Callithrix jacchus: one gene and its partners. The protein of the gene in region 3 interacts with the protein of the main gene of each other region in a pairwise test. Links are inferred from orthologs where the notes say so. Each region holds a gene or a part of one and is shown on either strand. Other genes may lie near its edges.

Evidence for each region.
Region 1: the proteins of CREB1 (region 3) and TSSK4 interact in binary tests that used the Homo sapiens proteins (3 or more experiments, as listed by UniProt). The link is inferred for Callithrix jacchus from reciprocal best matches to the Homo sapiens genes CREB1 and TSSK4.
Region 2: the proteins of CREB1 (region 3) and POGZ interact in a two-hybrid assay, tested with the Homo sapiens proteins (2 studies listed by BioGRID and IntAct). The link is inferred for Callithrix jacchus from reciprocal best matches to the Homo sapiens genes CREB1 and POGZ.
Region 4: the proteins of CREB1 (region 3) and CRTC1 interact in binary tests that used the Homo sapiens proteins (3 or more experiments, as listed by UniProt). The link is inferred for Callithrix jacchus from reciprocal best matches to the Homo sapiens genes CREB1 and CRTC1.

The regions. Positions count from the first base shown.
Region 1 is NC_133509.1:58,511,270-58,515,479, reverse strand, and holds the start of TSSK4 (testis-specific serine/threonine-protein kinase 4), read right to left. Parts: upstream 2,844-4,210; 5' UTR 2,619-2,843; coding exon 2,388-2,618; intron 2,028-2,387; coding exon 1,813-2,027; intron 1,209-1,812; coding exon 815-1,208; intron 126-814; coding exon of another isoform or gene 51-125; coding exon 1-50. UniProt on the Homo sapiens protein: Serine/threonine kinase which is involved in male germ cell development and in mature sperm function. May be involved in the Cre/Creb signaling pathway. Phosphorylates CREB1 on 'Ser-133' in vitro and can stimulate Cre/Creb pathway in cells.
Region 2 is NC_133519.1:11,309,107-11,312,668, reverse strand, and holds part of POGZ (pogo transposable element with ZNF domain), read left to right. Parts: intron 1-480; coding exon 481-615; intron 616-727; coding exon 728-900; intron 901-1,066; coding exon 1,067-1,207; intron 1,208-2,591; coding exon 2,592-2,648; intron 2,649-2,904; coding exon 2,905-3,017; intron 3,018-3,296; coding exon 3,297-3,321; intron 3,322-3,452; coding exon 3,453-3,562. UniProt on the Homo sapiens protein: Plays a role in mitotic cell cycle progression and is involved in kinetochore assembly and mitotic sister chromatid cohesion.
Region 3 is NC_133507.1:128,985,444-128,989,702, forward strand, and holds the start of CREB1 (cyclic AMP-responsive element-binding protein 1), read left to right. Parts: upstream 1-1,451; 5' UTR 1,452-1,547; exon of another isoform or gene 1,548-1,663; intron 1,664-4,259.
Region 4 is NC_133523.1:17,472,660-17,476,221, forward strand, and holds part of CRTC1 (CREB-regulated transcription coactivator 1), read left to right. Parts: intron 1-2,262; coding exon 2,263-2,571; intron 2,572-3,562. UniProt on the Homo sapiens protein: Transcriptional coactivator for CREB1 which activates transcription through both consensus and variant cAMP response element (CRE) sites.

The DNA of each region.
Region 1 (4,210 bases), on a different chromosome or scaffold from region 3:
AGAATGGTGACACGCTTAGCAGCTTGGCACAGCATCTGAAGGACCAGGTTCTAGAGCAGGGGAGAGAGAGGAGGTCTTGCCTGAGTTTTTCTCCATTGTGCCACGCAGGCAATGAGCAGCTCGACCTAAGAAAGAAGCAGGATAGCCTATCATACCACTCTTGTCAAACGGGGTGTGGCTCTGATTTTATCTTGGAGAGCCAGGCAATTAACTCCCTGGAGGGGGAGTGAAAAGTTCCTTGGGAGGAATGCTTTCCATAATCCCCTTCTGGCCTAAAGAGGCAGAAGCTGGAACCTGCATATCAAGCAAGGTTTGGAGCCTACTGGTTGGCCCTTTATGCCTTCCATACTTTTTTTTTTTTTTTTTTTTTGAGATGGAGTCACTCTGTCACCCAGGCTGGAGTGCAGTGGTACCATCTCAGCTCACTGCAACCCCCACTTCTTGGTTCAAGCGATTCTCTGCCTCAGCCTCCTGAGTAGCTGGGATTACAGATAGGCACCCACCACCACACCCAGCTAATTTTTGTATTTTTATTAGAGACAGGGTTTCACCATACTGGTCAGGCTGGTCTCGAACTCCTGATCTCGTGGTCCACCCACCTTGGCCTCCCAAAGTGTTAGGGATTACAGGCGTGAGCCTCCACACCTGCTGGCTCCATTCTATTATAGGGCAGGAGCTAGTGTGTGAAATGGCTCTGGTGTGGGAAGAGCCTTACCCCAGGGTTGGGAGGCCTAGGTTGGGTGACCTAGGATGGATATTCACCCCTCCCTGTGGGTCATCCCTGAGGCCTCAGCCCTCCTGCAGTAGCCAGTACCTTGCACTCCTGGGAGACGGTGAGGTTAGGTGGGAAAGTGACCTCCTTCTGAGTCTCTCTCAGCAGCTTTTTGAGATTGGTGTCGTCAAAGGGCAGATGAGCAACCACTAGAGTGTAAAGGATGACGCCCATGCTCCAGGTGTCAGACAGGAAAGGGTTGTAGGGCAAACCTAGTAAGATCTCTGGGCAGGCATAAGCAAAGCTGCCACAGTAAGTCTGGCTAAGGTGGGAAAAGCAGTTCACTTGGCGGTAAGAAGCGCTATGACCCACATGGTTGTTAGAAGGCACCATCTTGGCAAAGCCAAAGTCCGATATCTTCACACTCTCCCACTTGTCCAGCAACAGGTTCTCCAACTTTAAGTCCCTACCAGCAGCAGAAAGGCTGGGCGTCAGGCTGGGGAGAGGGCTTAGTTTTAGACTGGGAGCTGAAGGGCCAGGGGTCAGAGGGTAAGGAGAGTCCAAAGTGAGGAGAGAGAGAGGATCGTATCTGAAGACCACTGGGAGCTCACCATCGTATTTCATAAAATGCTCTCCAGGATGGGCGTGGTGGCTCATGCCTGTAATCCCAGCACTTTGGGAGGCCCAGGCAGGCGGATCACGAGATCAGGAGTTCAAGACCAGCCTGATCAACACGGTGAAACCCCATCTCTACTAAAAATATAGACATTAGCTGGGCATGATGGCATGCGGCTGTAACCCCAGCTACTTAAGAGGCTGAGGCAAGAGAATTGCTTGAACCCAGGAGGCGGAGGTTGTGGTGAGCTGAGATCACACCAGCATGGGGGCGACAGAGCAAGTCTCCATCTCGAAAAAAACAAAAGCTCTCCATAGAGTGAGTACTTTATTAGTATCCTTAACCACATGATTATAATAGAGTGCATGAATAGGCCTAGATATTAAGGAGGGAGTTTGAGAGAGGAAAAAAGGGAAGGAAATGAGAGATGTGCATAAAACCCCCTTGAGAGCAAAGGCCCCAGTCTGGGTGGCAGCGACCTCACCGGTGCACGATGCCCTTGCTGTGCAGGTAGGCAATGCCCAGGGTCAGCTGGGAGAACCACTTGCCAGCAAGGGGCTCAGAGCAGGCCCCGTAGCGCTGGATCCGTTCAAGGACGTCACCACCCTGAGCCAGCTCCAGAATGATGTATACTCGAGATGTGGTCTCAATGGCCTGATAGAAGTTGATGAGGTACTTGTGCCGCAAGACTTTCATTACCTGACCCCAGAATAAAGACCCATCAAACCTGGGAAGGGAGAACCCTGACTCCATTCCCAGCCATCTCCTACCCTTAGCTACTTACTTAGAACTTTGCAAAAGGATCAACCCCTGAACCCCAGAGAACTAGTGGCCTGTGGGCAAACCCTATGTTTTACACTTTTACTTTTTGTGGGGCTAGAGGTGAGTGGGTGGATGGGAAAGAGGTTTAATTTACATAAATCTTCCTAGCTGCTTAGTGAGACATTCAGTTCTGGTTTAGGGGTTTCTGGCCCCACCCCTCCTGGCCATACCCCTTCTGAGAAACCTCAAGCAGCTTAGTACCAAGCTTCAGTTCCCTCTTCCAGCCCCCTTTCTAACCTGTATCTCACGGGTCATGAACTTGTTAAGATAGTCATCAGAGGCCTTTTTCTTTGAGATGATCTTGACTGCCACCATGATCTTCTGCTTTGTGTAGAAAGCCTCATATACTGTCCCATAGGAGCCATTGCCAATGACCTTGCCCAGCTCATAACCATATTCATCCATGATGGAGTGGTAGGCTGTGGCTGTGGTGGTTGGTGCTGCCTCTGAGACATCTCCCTTCCCCATGGTGTTGGGTTTGCTAAGAGCAGGGAGCTTTACTACTTGGAAGCCTCCTATTCAAAGCCAACACCTTGAGCCGCTGAAGGCTAGGGTATCAAAGTGAAATAGGTCTCCAAATGCTTGCCTATATAGTCACACGAGTCTGGGATGCTTGGCTCAGCCCTCCACTAGGAACTTGGAGGGGGAAAGAAAGAGAAGCAGTTTTTGTCTCTACTGGCTGTTGTTACTTCCTCCTTTTGGTTACGGAACTCCTCAAGGTCCCATGTTCCAAATACATCACAATCCACCTCCTATCCGTTTTTGGCCACAAAACTTAAGAATGAACTACAGTGTGAAACATACTCATTCCCAGAGGTATCTTCCAGTCTGGTGACACTCCTCCTAAAGATCAGCCCCATCATTAATATATGAGAACCGACTAAGTAACAGTGTGCTGAGTACTTGGATAAAATGTCACCCAAATGTCATGCCAGACCCTTCCTTCTTCCTCAATCCCTACATACAATCTATCATCAAATCCTGTCTCTGCTACCTCCTACTTATCTCTTTAATGATACACTCAAGACTTTCTGAGCCTACTGCAGCCCCTTAGTTCAATAAGGCCAATAGAGACACAATAATCCTAGAATTTATAATGCAGCATGAGAAATATGAGTGTGAAAGTATTATAATTGTAAGGTGTTGAACATGTTCTAGGAAAATCTAACCTTGAAATGCATGCTTATCATGACCCAGAACTCTCTAGTTTTCCTCCACATCCTTCTGGTCATTCCTCAGCCTTCACTAAAGCTAAATCTTTCTCCATTCAATCCTGAATCATATCCCAAGTGTTCTATCATAAGTTTTATTTTCTCAAACCTTCACATCCTCCCTTAATGATCTTGTCCATACCCATGAAGTCAATACTACATTTATGCTGACTGCTCCTAATTTCATCTCCATCCCATGTGTCTCTGGAGTTTAGATAGAGCAGCCAATATTATATGGCCATGTCCGTCCCAGGCATGGAACTTACCATTATCTGCCTCGAACTTAGCCATATCAAAAATTGAACTTATTTTCTTCTTACAGACCTTTCTGTAAGTTGTACATTAATCACCCTTAATTTAGACACTCAAATGTCATCCCAAACCCTCCTGCCTCAGCCCCTACATACAATCTATCACCAAATCCTATCTCTTCTACCTCTTGATTATCTGTTTAATAATACTCGTATGGCTTTCTGAGCCCACTGCCACTTCCTTAGTTTACACCTCTATCAGTGAACAGATTGCCCCAGCCAGCCTTCTGCTCCCCTCCAGTCTGTCCATCCTTAAGACTAAAGCATAAATCTGATTTTATTTCCATTTGAAACAATTAAATACCTCCTCATTCTCCTCTGGATCAAGTCCATCCAAATTGTTTCATGCAGCTTTAAGTCTGATCCTGCTTGCCTCCCCAATTTTATTTTTTAACACACAAATATAGAAAAAAAATTTTTTTTTAACACACAAATACAGAAAAAAATTTTTTTTCTGTATTTGTTTGCCACCAATACAGAACAATATTTGTTTGCCACACATACAGAAAAGGAGTTGTTTGGTTTGCTTCATCCAAAT
Region 2 (3,562 bases), on a different chromosome or scaffold from region 3:
GAAAGCATGCTCAGGAACTGGTAATAAGTTGTTTCTGTGGAAAGGGACTGAGTGTCAGAGTTGAAGGCAAACTTGGAAGAGTACAGAAAAAAACGTTTGACTTTTATTTACTGTGTACGTTATCTTTCTTTAAAAAAAGAAGAATGTCCAGGAGAATGTCTAATTGTCAGCAGTGTAAAGATATTATACAAATAGAGGTTACATCACTCATTCAGATTGCTAAAATAAGTCAGGAAAGGATGGTTTGAGAACTTGGTCATCCGGGCCTGGAATCCATCTTTCTTTGGGATCATGGGAGGTGATGATTCTCAGTGGTAGGTTTTGTGGTCATGTTGTGTATTTCTTTCTTACTCTCTTATTATTAACAGAAAGCGGGGAAGAATGATGTGGTTGGCATTTATCTGCTTACTTCTCAAAGAAGATTTATTAGGAACCTTTAAGGGATTTTTGTCTCTTTTTACCTCCCCTCCCCCACTTCAGAAGAGAAACGTTTATCACTGCAACAAATGCCGGCTGCAGTTTCTCTTTGCCAAGGACAAAATTGAACACAAGCTTCAACACCATAAAACCTTCCGTAAACCCAAGCAGCTGGAGGGCTTGAAACCAGGCACCAAGGTAAAGGGTTTGCCAGTGTCTTTTATAGGCTTAGGGAGGGAGGAATAGAGATTTTCAGTATTCTGAAATTTAGTGTGGGTGATATCTCATTGTTCCTTCCCTTGACTCTCAGGTGACAATCCGGGCTTCCCGAGGGCAGCCACGAACTGTTCCTGTATCCTCTAATGATACACCTCCCAGCGCCTTGCAGGAGGCAGCACCACTGGCCTCCTCAACGGACCCTCTGCCTGTCTTCCTTTATCCCCCTGTCCAGCGCAGCATCCAGAAGAGAGCTGTTAGGAAAATGTCAGCGCCTTCTTCTAAGTGCTGGGCGGTGGGGGGCTGGGTGGGCAGAATTATTCCTGATACACAATGCGATCTGGTAGCTTTTTAGCAGAATTTCTTGTCTGAAAATCCTACATTTTGGGGAACCCTGAGGCAGTAATGAGAATTCTCCTTTTCTTCCCTACAGGAGTGTCATGGGCCGGCAGACATGCCTGGAGTGCAGCTTCGAGATTCCAGACTTCCCTAATCATTTCCCTACTTATGTGCACTGCTCTCTGTGTCGCTATAGCACCTGCTGCTCTCGAGCTTATGCCAACCACATGATCAAGTAAGTTGTTTCAACCAATGTTTCAGCTTGAGAGTTCAGATTCTTCTCACGCCTATAATCCCAGCACTTTGAGAGGCCGACGCGGGTGGATCACGAGGTCAAGAGATCGAGACCATCCTGGTCAACAACGTGAAACACCGTCTCTACTAAAAATACAAAAAAATTAGCTGGGCATGGTGGCGCGTGCCTGTAATCTGGCTACTCGGGAGGCTGAGGCAGGAGAATTGCTTGAACCCAGGAGGCAGAGGTTGCAGTGAGCCAAGATCATGCCATTGCACTCCAGGCTGGGTAACAAGAGTAAAACTCTGTCTCAAAAAAAAAAAAAAAGTTCAGATTCTTTTTTTTTTTTTTTTTTTTTTTTTTGGTTAGAGACAGGGTCTTGTTCTCTTCCCAGGCTGGAGTGCAGTGGCACAATCTCGGCTCACTGCAACCTCTGCCTCCTGGGTTCAACTGATTCTCCTGTCTCAGCCTCCCTAGTAGCTGGGATTACAGGTGTGCACCACCACACCTGGCTTAATTTTTTTTTGCATTTTTAGTAGAGACGGGATTTCACCAAGTTGGCCAGGCTTGTCTCAAACCCCTGAGCTGAGGTGATCCACCCGCCGTGGCCTCCCAAAGTGCTCGAGGAGCCACCGTGCCTGGCCCTGGCCAGATTCTTGAGCACTCATTTCATTTTCTTCCCTGTTCCTAATGTTTCCTCCTTCAACTCTTAGAGCTATTTGTTCTTCTCTCCTAGCAGAGTGAGTGGCTTTATTTTTTGGTTTTGATGGTCTGTGCTCTAATTTCACAGGACCTTGCTACTCAAGGACCAGCAGTATTAGGTGGGAGCTTGTTAGAAATGCTGACTCGGGCCAGGCACGGTGGCTCAAGCCTGTAATCCCAGAACTTTGGGAGGCCGAGGCGGGTGGATCACAAGGTCAAGAGATCGAGACCATCCTGGTCAACATGGTGAAACCCCGTCTCTACTAAAAATACAAAAAATTAGCTGGGCATGGTGGTGCGTGCCTGTAATCCCAGCTACTCAGGAGGCTGAGGCAGGAGAATTACCTGAACCCAGGAGGCGGAGGCTGCGGTGAGCCGAGATCGCGCCATTGCACTCCAGCCTGGGTAACAAGAGCGAAACTCCGTCTCAAAAAAAAAAAAAGAAATTCTGACTCTCAGCCCCACCCTAAGTCTACTGAATCAGGATGTGAATTATAATAGATCCTCAGGTGATTTGTATGCACATTGAAGTTTAAGAAGCACAGTGACAGGAAAACTGGCTTAGGTTGAGAATAGGATGCACTGAAGAAGGGTCTCTTGTTGGGGGCGTTGTCACTGGCTGGTGATCTCTAGCTTAGCCAGCAGCGCTCTATAACTCAAACCACTTCTTTGTCTTTCTCAGCAATCATGTTCCACGGAAAAGCCCCAAGTATTTGGCTTTGTTTAAAAATTCTGTGAGGTAAGAAAAAACTTACTGGAAACATCTTAATTTTTCAGGGTTTTTTGTTGTTGTTTTGTTTTGTTTTCCCTTTTTTTTTTAAATTTTTCAGGTTTTTACATGAAATTCTTTTCATTATTTGGGGAGGTGGTTATGTGAATTAATTTTAGAAAAAAGAGAAATTTGGGAGGGCATTCCTTTTCTTAAGCCTCAAAGCTTAATGGTCTCAAGTGTCACTGCTGTATTTATCTTATATATTCTTGATTCTCTCTTTTAGTGGAACCAAGCTGGCCTGCACTTCGTGTGCCTTTGTTACCTCTGTGGGCGATGCTATGGCCAAGCATTTGGTATTCAACCCCTCTCACAGATCCAGCAGCATCCTGCCACGGGGTATGTAGGAGGGATGGGAATTAGCTGAGCAAGAGGAGGAAAAAAGATACAGGACGTACTGTATGCGTCAGGAGCATGCCTACCTGGCCCCACCCGTTCACTCTTGAGATATACTGTACCAAATTAGAAACCTTCCAGCCTGAAGTTTATATAAGACTGGGAAAGTTGGGCACTGTGAATGGCATACTTGTATGTAGTAGGTTGAAATCCCAGGGCACTGTCTTTGGAAAGCTTATTTCTTCACTGAGCTAACTTTTTTTATTGTTTGATTTTCCATAGGACTCACTTGGATAGCTCACTCAAGGTAACGAAAACTCTCACCTCACAAGTTAATTTCTGGTTTGCAGTGTGTGTTATTATTATTATTACATTATTATTTCAGTTCCCTAGTTGAACTGAGATTTATCCTCTTCTCTTTGCTCCTCACCCATTTAGGCACGGCCAGACTCGTGACCGAGTGCATGACCGGAACGTGAAGAATATGCACCCTCCTCCTTCCTTCCCCACTAACAAAGCTGCTGCTGTGAAGTCTGCGGGGGCCACCC
Region 3 (4,259 bases):
AAGAATTGAGAGACTTAAGCATGTGTAAATGAAAGAGCCGGTAGAGAAGGAAAGATTGAGAGCAACAGAAGGAAAGGAGGCTCGTTAAGGGCAAAGTCCAGAAGAAAACAGTAGGGGACCTAGAGTACCAAGAATAACTCTTTCATTACAAAAGAAGTGAGTCAGGGGCGGAGTCCGGATTTGAACCCTCTCTGCTTCCTAAAGACACATCTCTTTTAGAAAAAGAATGATTAAGACTGGAGGCAGGGAGGGGTGGCTCACGCCTGTAATCCCAGCACTTTGGGAGGCTGAGTCGGGCGGATCACCAGAGGTCAGAAGTTCCAGACCAGCCTGGCCAACATGGTGAAACCCTGTCTCCAGTAAAAATACAAAAATTAGCTGGGCGTGGTGGCGGGTGCCTGTAATCCCAGCTAATTGGGAGACTGAGGCAGGAGAATCGCTTGAACCCGGGAGGCGGAGGTTGTAGTGAGCCGAGATAATAACACTACACTCCAGCCTGGGTAACAAGATTGAGACTCTGTCTCAAAAAAAAAAAAAAAAAAAAAAAGGACTTCAAAGCCCAGAGACAGAGAGAGGGCTGCAGAGTTTACTACCAAGGAGAATGGGGACCTAGTGGTGTGGCCTGGGCAACCTCTAAGAGAGCAGTTCAGTAGTTTCCAGCCACGGAAGTTCCCCTGCTGGGTTCACAGTGCTGAGGGTGCGAATCCCTTGCTGTAGAAAACAGGCTGAGGAAAGAACGCGACACAGGATGTTGTCTGGAGAAAGGCGGGGAGGTGGAATAGGGCATATTTCCAGTGGTCCAGGCAGGCCCGGGCAGAACCCGAGAGGTGCCACGGTATCCGAGCCAACGTCCCCCGGGAAACCATGCCCCGCCGGAGGCCTCCGGGTTTCTCCGCTGAGTCTCCGAAAGGAAAACTCGTCCCCACTGGGTCCCACGACGTCCCCGAACCCCAAGCCCCAGGCCCTGGGACGCTGGCAGAGGCGCAGCAGCCCTTCCTCCCCAGCCTGCACGGCTCCCGCGGTCCGTCCGCGTTCCAGCCGGAGCGGCGCTGCGCCCGCTTGCCGGCGGCGTCGGAAAGTTCCCGGGGCTGGAGGCGCTGAAGGGCAGAGCCCGCGGCTCACCGCCGCAGAGGCAGGCCTGCGCGGGGGTTTCCACTAAGTCGCTGACACCCCTCGGGAATTCCCCACTGGGCCACACACAAACCCCGTTTCCTCCTTCAAATTTCCGCCGCCGGCTTTATCGATTCGAACGCAGCGTAGCGGTTTAGACCACCCCTCCCAGCGCGGGGCTCAACCCGTCTTCGCCTTCCTCTACCGGCGCAACCTCTTCGCCTCGCCCGAAGAAGCCCGAAGGCCTTCGGCAAGTTCCGTCCCCAGCGCGGGGGTGGGGCCGCTCGAGCTCCTCCGGGCCGAGCTCGGCTGTTTCCGTGCGCGGCCGCTGCGCACTCGGCACTGGGCGGCGCTGGCTGGCTCCCTGGCTGCGGCTCCTCAGTCGGCGGCGGCTGCTGCTGCCTGTGGCCCGGGCGGCTGGGAGAAGCGGAGTGTTGGTGAGTGACGCGGCGGAGGTGTAGTTTGACGCGGTGTGTTACGTGGGGGAGAGAATAAAACTCCAGCGAGATCCGGGCCGTGAACGAAAGCAGTGACGGAGGAGCTTGTACCACCGGTAAGAGGAGCAGGAGGAGGAGGCAGGAGCCAGAGAGAGCCGGGGGGACGGAGGGGGGACGGGGAGGCGCCGGACACCCGCGCTTGGGGCCTTCCCCTCGCAGGAGGGGCCGCGGTAAAGATGGAGCCTCCGCCCGAGCCCCACAACATCGCCGCCGCTCGCAGCGAACAAAGAATAATGGCGGCGGACTGGAGCCAGCGGCGGCCGGGGCGGCAGCGACTCTGCCTGCAGCCAGCGGCGGCGCTCATGGCGGGGGGCGGCGGGCGGCGGGCGGCGGGCGGGGTGGGAGCCGGCGGCCGGGGGTGTGTGCGGGCGGCCGGCCGCGGCGAGCTGGCGCCCGCGTTCCCGCCGCCGCCGCCGGGCCGGGCGCGAAGCCGGGAGCCGGGATCCGGGAGCCGCCCCGGGGGAGGCCGCCTGCTCGGCCCTGAGTTGCCCCCAGCGCAGCTCGCTCATCCGGCCCCCGCCGCCCGCCTCGCCCCCGACCCGACCCGGCCCGGCCTCCGGGGCAGCCGCCGCCTGGGTGCCAGTGGGGGTGGAGGAGGAAGAAGGCGACAGTTGAGGGCAGAGGAGGTGAAGGTGCCTGCTGCCTTCCCGGTGGCCTCGCTGTCTGCCATGCCCGCTTCGCAAGGGGAAGAGCTGCAACGTCTGACCTACTCTTCTCTCCACTCTTTGTGCAATAAAGTTCGAAACCCAAGGTTTCCTCTCGTGCTGTATTTTATTCATGCCCTTTCCCTCCCGCTCCCACACCGTTGAGGAAATGCTGCTTTCTGCCCTGTGTTGCTTAGTTGAGAGATGAGGGCTTGTGCCTGGGGGGAATTTTTGACTCCCTCACCCCCTTGCCTTTTTTTTTTTTTTTTTAATTAATCCTGTAGTCATAGAAATGCATGCTTTTTGGGAGAAAGGGTGCTAAAAAAAAACATTTGTAGTAACTTTAAAGAACTGTTGGAATCTTATAAAAGGGAAGCTGGTGTTTGAAAACAGTTTCGGTTTTAACCCTTTTCAATAAGGTAATTATCACTTTGAAACACTTCGTTGAAACGAGTATCAGCGGACGTACTCTTGTTTTACATCATTTCGCGGGGTGCAGCCTTGTCAACCGCGTTTTGGGTCATCTGACTCTCCCTACACCCTCAGTCCCACCCCCCTACCATATTTCCCACAAATTTCTGTGTGAACTTTAATGAGAGACGGAATACTAATTCTAAAAATAGACTTTTAAGTATCCATTATTTGTCTCTCATGCAGTAGGTAACCCCGGTCTTGAGACTGAGAATTTAAGCCACAAGCTGTATTTTTTCTTTGCCTGTTGGGAAAAAAGGACAGCAGAAAAGTCATTTAAAAATTAAAAGACAATTTTTAAAGGACATGTCGTATGACCTATTTAAGTTTGTAATGCCATCCCAAGTTATAATTCTAACCTCGGCTTACGACTGCCTTCTAAAGGTTTAGTGGAAGATACTTTTGATTGCTGCCTCTTGAAATCTTTTATATTTATGGCTCATTTCCTGATTTAAAAGTCAAGCCCCAAGCAGTTATTTTAGGTGGTGCAAAAGATGAACAAGTTTGTTTTAAAAGTATTTGTCTGTCACTGTATGGTTGCATTGTGATTGATACACACAAGGCTTCTGGTTAGGAACAAATATTAATTAGCAGTAGAAACAGTGTCTTATTTTTCTCTATGTAAGTCACTTTTCCAAAACCTGCTTTGCTGTATTGCTTCTCTTTAAAAAAGACCACATTATCAATTTGTCATTGCCAAGAAAATAAGATACAGTAAAGAGAGGTTCTCTATAAATATTGGGAAAATGATTTTACTTCCAATCGCTGAGAAAATTATTACAGTATTGATAATGGTAGGTTACTGTTTTTCCTTAATGATGTTCTGCAAGCCACCATCAGTTGAGTAGAATTTTTTTTCTTGTTAAGCTTATACGCGGTGGCTCATGCCTGTCTGTAATCCCAGCACTTTGGGAGGCCAAGGCGGGCGGATCACCTAAGGTCAGGAGTTCGAGACCAACCTGACCATGGAGAAACCCCGTCTCTACCAAAAATACAAAATTAGCCGGGCGTGGTGGCGCATGCCTGTAATCCTAGCTACTCGTGAGACTGGGGCAGGACAATCGCTTGAACCCGGGAGGCAGAGGTGAGGGTGAGCCAAAATCACACCATTGCACTCCAGCCTGGGCAACAAGAGCGAAACTCCGTCTCAAAAATAGTAATATACGCCGGGCGCAGCGACTTATGCCTGTAATCCCAGCATTTTGGGGGGCCTGGGTGGGCGGATGACTTGAGGTCAGGCGTTGGAGACCAGCCTGACCAACATGGTGAATCTAGTCTCTACTAAAAAAAAAAAAAATTAGCCGGGTGTGGTGGCTCGCGCCTATAATTCCAGCTACTCGGGAAGCTGAGGCAGGAGAATTGCTTGAACCCAGGAGGCAGAGGTTGTAGTGAGCCAAGATCGTTCCACTGCACTTCAGCCTGGGTGACCGAGTGAGACTCCATCTCAAAAAAAGAAAAAAAAACCACAAAAAATTGTTTACTGATATGTTCTTTCTTTAGTCTTGCCCAAGAGATATTTTCATTTATTTATTTATTT
Region 4 (3,562 bases), on a different chromosome or scaffold from region 3:
CATTTTCATTTTCTGATTTTAGCAATTGAGACTCCCTCTTTGTTGCCTCATCAGTGCGGCTTCATAGAGTGAGTTAGGAATGTTCATTTCTCCTTCGTTTTTCAGAAGCATTTTTAATTCCTCTTTAAATGTTTGGTAGAATTAAGTGGGCATAATGATAAATTCCTGTAGTCCCAGGTACTTGGGAGGCTGAAGTGGGAAGATTGCATGAGCCAGGTGTTTGAGTCCAGCCTGGGCAATGCAGTGAGACCCCATGTCTTAAAAAAAGAAAAGAAAAGGCTGGGCGTGGTGGCTCACGCCTGTAATCCCAGCACTTTGGGAGGCCGAGGTGGGTGGATCATGAGGTCAAGAGATCGAGACCATCCTGGTCAACATGGTGAAACCCCGTCTCTACTAAAAATACAAAAAATTAGCTGGGCATGGTGGCGTGTGCCTGTAATCCCAGCTACTCGGGAGGCTGAGGCAGGAGAATTGCCTGAACCCAGGAGGCGGAGGTTGCAGTGAGCCATTGCACTCCAGCCTGGGTAACGAGCGAAACTCCATCTCAAAAAAAAGAGTTTGGTAAAATCACCAGTGCAGCCACCTGCATCTTAGCTCAAATCTGTTGGGAAATTTGCAATTTCTTCTTACTTCTTATAAGGCTATTCAGGTTTTCTGTTCTTCCTTGAGTCACTTTTGGTCATTTGTGCATTTCTAGAAATTTATCCGTTTTGTCTTTTTAAAAACAAAACAAAAAACTCTAACAGAGAACATTATGTCTTAAATATTGTTTTATTTTATTTTATTTTTGAGACGGAGTCTCACTCTGTCACTCAGGCTGGAGTGCAGTGGTACGATCTCGGCGATTCTTTTGCCTCGGCCTCCCAAGTAGCTGGGACTATAGGTGCGCGCCACCATGCCTGGCTAATACTTTGTTATTTTTAGTAGAGACGGGTTTCACCATATGAGCCAGGATGGTCTTGATCTCCTGACCGTGATCTGCCCACCTCGACCTCCCAAAGTGCTGGGATTACAGGCCTGAGCCACTGCACCCAGCCATTTTTAATTTTTGTTTTATTACTGTTTTTGAGACAGTCTCACTCTTGCCCAGGCTGGAGTGCAGCAGCGTGCTCTTGACTTTACTGCAGCCTCCGCCTCCTGGGTTCAGTCGATTCTTGTGCCAGCCTCCTGAGTAGCTGGGATGACAGGCGTGTGCCTACCTCACCCAGCTAAGTTTTGTATTTTTAGTAGAGATGGGGTTTTGCCATGTTGGCCAGGCTGGTCTCGAACTCCTGACCTCAAGTGATCCCCCGCCTCAGCATCCCGAAGTGCTGGGATTGCAGATGTGAGCCACCGCGCCCACCACTTGTCTGTTTTTAACATAACCACAGTGGCACCGTCCACCTACAACGAAGTTAATGGTAGTTCCCTGGCAATGCCTGGCCTGGACTCCATTTCTCCCTGCCCCTCAGCCCCCATCTTCTGTCTGCTTACAAAATTGTCTTATTCAGATCAAGACCCAGACAGATCTGTGGGCGCTGGCTCCTGGCAGCTGTGTCTTCAGCCTCTTCGTGAGCTAGGCTGTTTCAATCTGACACCTGCCCCTTTCTCTATCTGGAACCTCCTTTCTCTTCTCAGAGGCTGGGCATCTTGCTGAGTGGTTTCTGTCCCATAGTTCCTGGGCACGCTCAGCCTTTCTTAGAGGGCAGGAACCCCCACCTTCCCCAAGGACTGTCAGCATGGTAGCCCCTGGCTGAGTTTCCACAGACTCAGCGAATGTCACACACTTCCCTCCCACTGATTTTACTCTTTCCATCTCTGAGAAGGCCCTGAGCCAGCCCTTGGTGAGGGCCAGGCTGGTGTCTCCAGTATCCTCAGAGCAGGCAAGGCTTCGGGCAGGGGGGAGGGTTTGGAAACCAAGGCAGGTGGATCACTTGAGGTCTCCCGACAGCACCCACAGGGGCTGAGAACTGGCCGCTCACTGAGCCAGCAGGTGTGGCCATCCCGTGTCTTGCCTGAGCTTCGTGGCATGTAGTGGGGATGTAAGTGCAAGGAACTGCAGGAGCTCAGGCCTGTCCAGCTCCAGCTGACCCCCTGGGGCCCTGGGTGAGGCCCACCTCTCTAGCCTGGCCTCCCTCATCATGAGGAGCACCCAGCCCAGGGGCTACCTATGATCACAGGGCCCCTCCACCCGCCTGCTGAGCATGCCAGGCTGTGGGGGCCCGAGGGGAACAGGCATTGGCAGCCAGGGCCCGCCCCGCCTGATGCCCATCTCTCCCACAGGCCGTGGCCATGGATGCCCTGTCTCTGGAGCAGCAGCTGCCCTATGCCTTCTTCACCCAGGCGGGCTCCCAGCAGCCACCGCCACAGCCCCAGCCCCCGCCGCCCCCTCCGCCAGCGTCCCAGCAGCCGCCACCCCCACCACCCCCGCAGGCATCCGTCCGCCTGCCCCCCGGTGGCCCCCTGTTGCCCAGCGCCAGCCTGACTCGTGGGCCACAGCCACCCCCGCTCGCAGTCACGGTACCATCCTCTCTCCCCCAGTCCCCCCCAGAGAACCCCGGCCAGCCATCAATGGGGATCGACATTGCCTCGGTAAGCCCAGCATGGGGTCCTTTGGGGCCTGGCTGGGGATCTTGGGGAGGACAGCCTGGAGGATGCAGAACAGTCGAGTTACTGCATGGGCCAGGGGCCAGGACCCCAGCGAACACTGCCCAGCCCGGCACTCCATGGGGCTACCCCTTGGAATCAAGCTGAGACTGTCACTACCCATAGAGATGGGGAAACTGGGCTGGGCGTGGTGGCTCACGCCTGTAATCATGACACTTTGGGAGGCTGAGGAGGGAGGATGACCTGAGGTCAGGAGTTCAAGACCAGCCTGCCCAAAATGGCAAAACCCCATCTCTACTAAAAAAAAAAATACAAAAATTAGCCAGGCACAGTGGCAGGCGCCTATAATCCCAGCTACTTGGGAGGCTGAGGCAGAAGGATCGCTTGAACCTGGGAGGCGGAGGTTGCAGTGAGCCAAGATGGCACCACTATACTCCAGCCTGGGCAACAGAGCAAGACTCTGTCTCAAAAAAAAAAAAAAGAGATAGAGAAACTGGGGCACAAGCAGGTGGCTGGCCCCAGACTCCACCCACAATGGGCCACTCCATATTTAACTGCCAGGTACCCCCTCTTGGTCTCTCGGGACCCTCCCACCCAAAGCCAGGCTTCCTTGGAGGTGAGAAAAGCACAGTGTTCTGGGGCTTGGGTGCAGGCTCCCAAAGGCCAGGGGATGACATGAGCTTACCAGGGAAGGATGGCCGAAGCCAGCTCAAGAAGCAGTGGCCCATGAGACACAGTGCCTGGGACCCAGGGCCGGGGGCCATAACTCAGACCATGGAATCTTCTGCCCAGGGCCAGGCTCAGGCAGGCCAGGACTGGGTACTGGGTACGAGGTGCTGACCCCTGTACCCACAGACCTTCCTGACTGTGCACACTTCTACCTGCTTGCTCCAGTGCTGGGGGCGGGTTGGGAAACAGCTGCTTTGGGCCACATCCAGGGAAGCAGGGACCTGCGTTTGGGGGACAACAAGCCCTC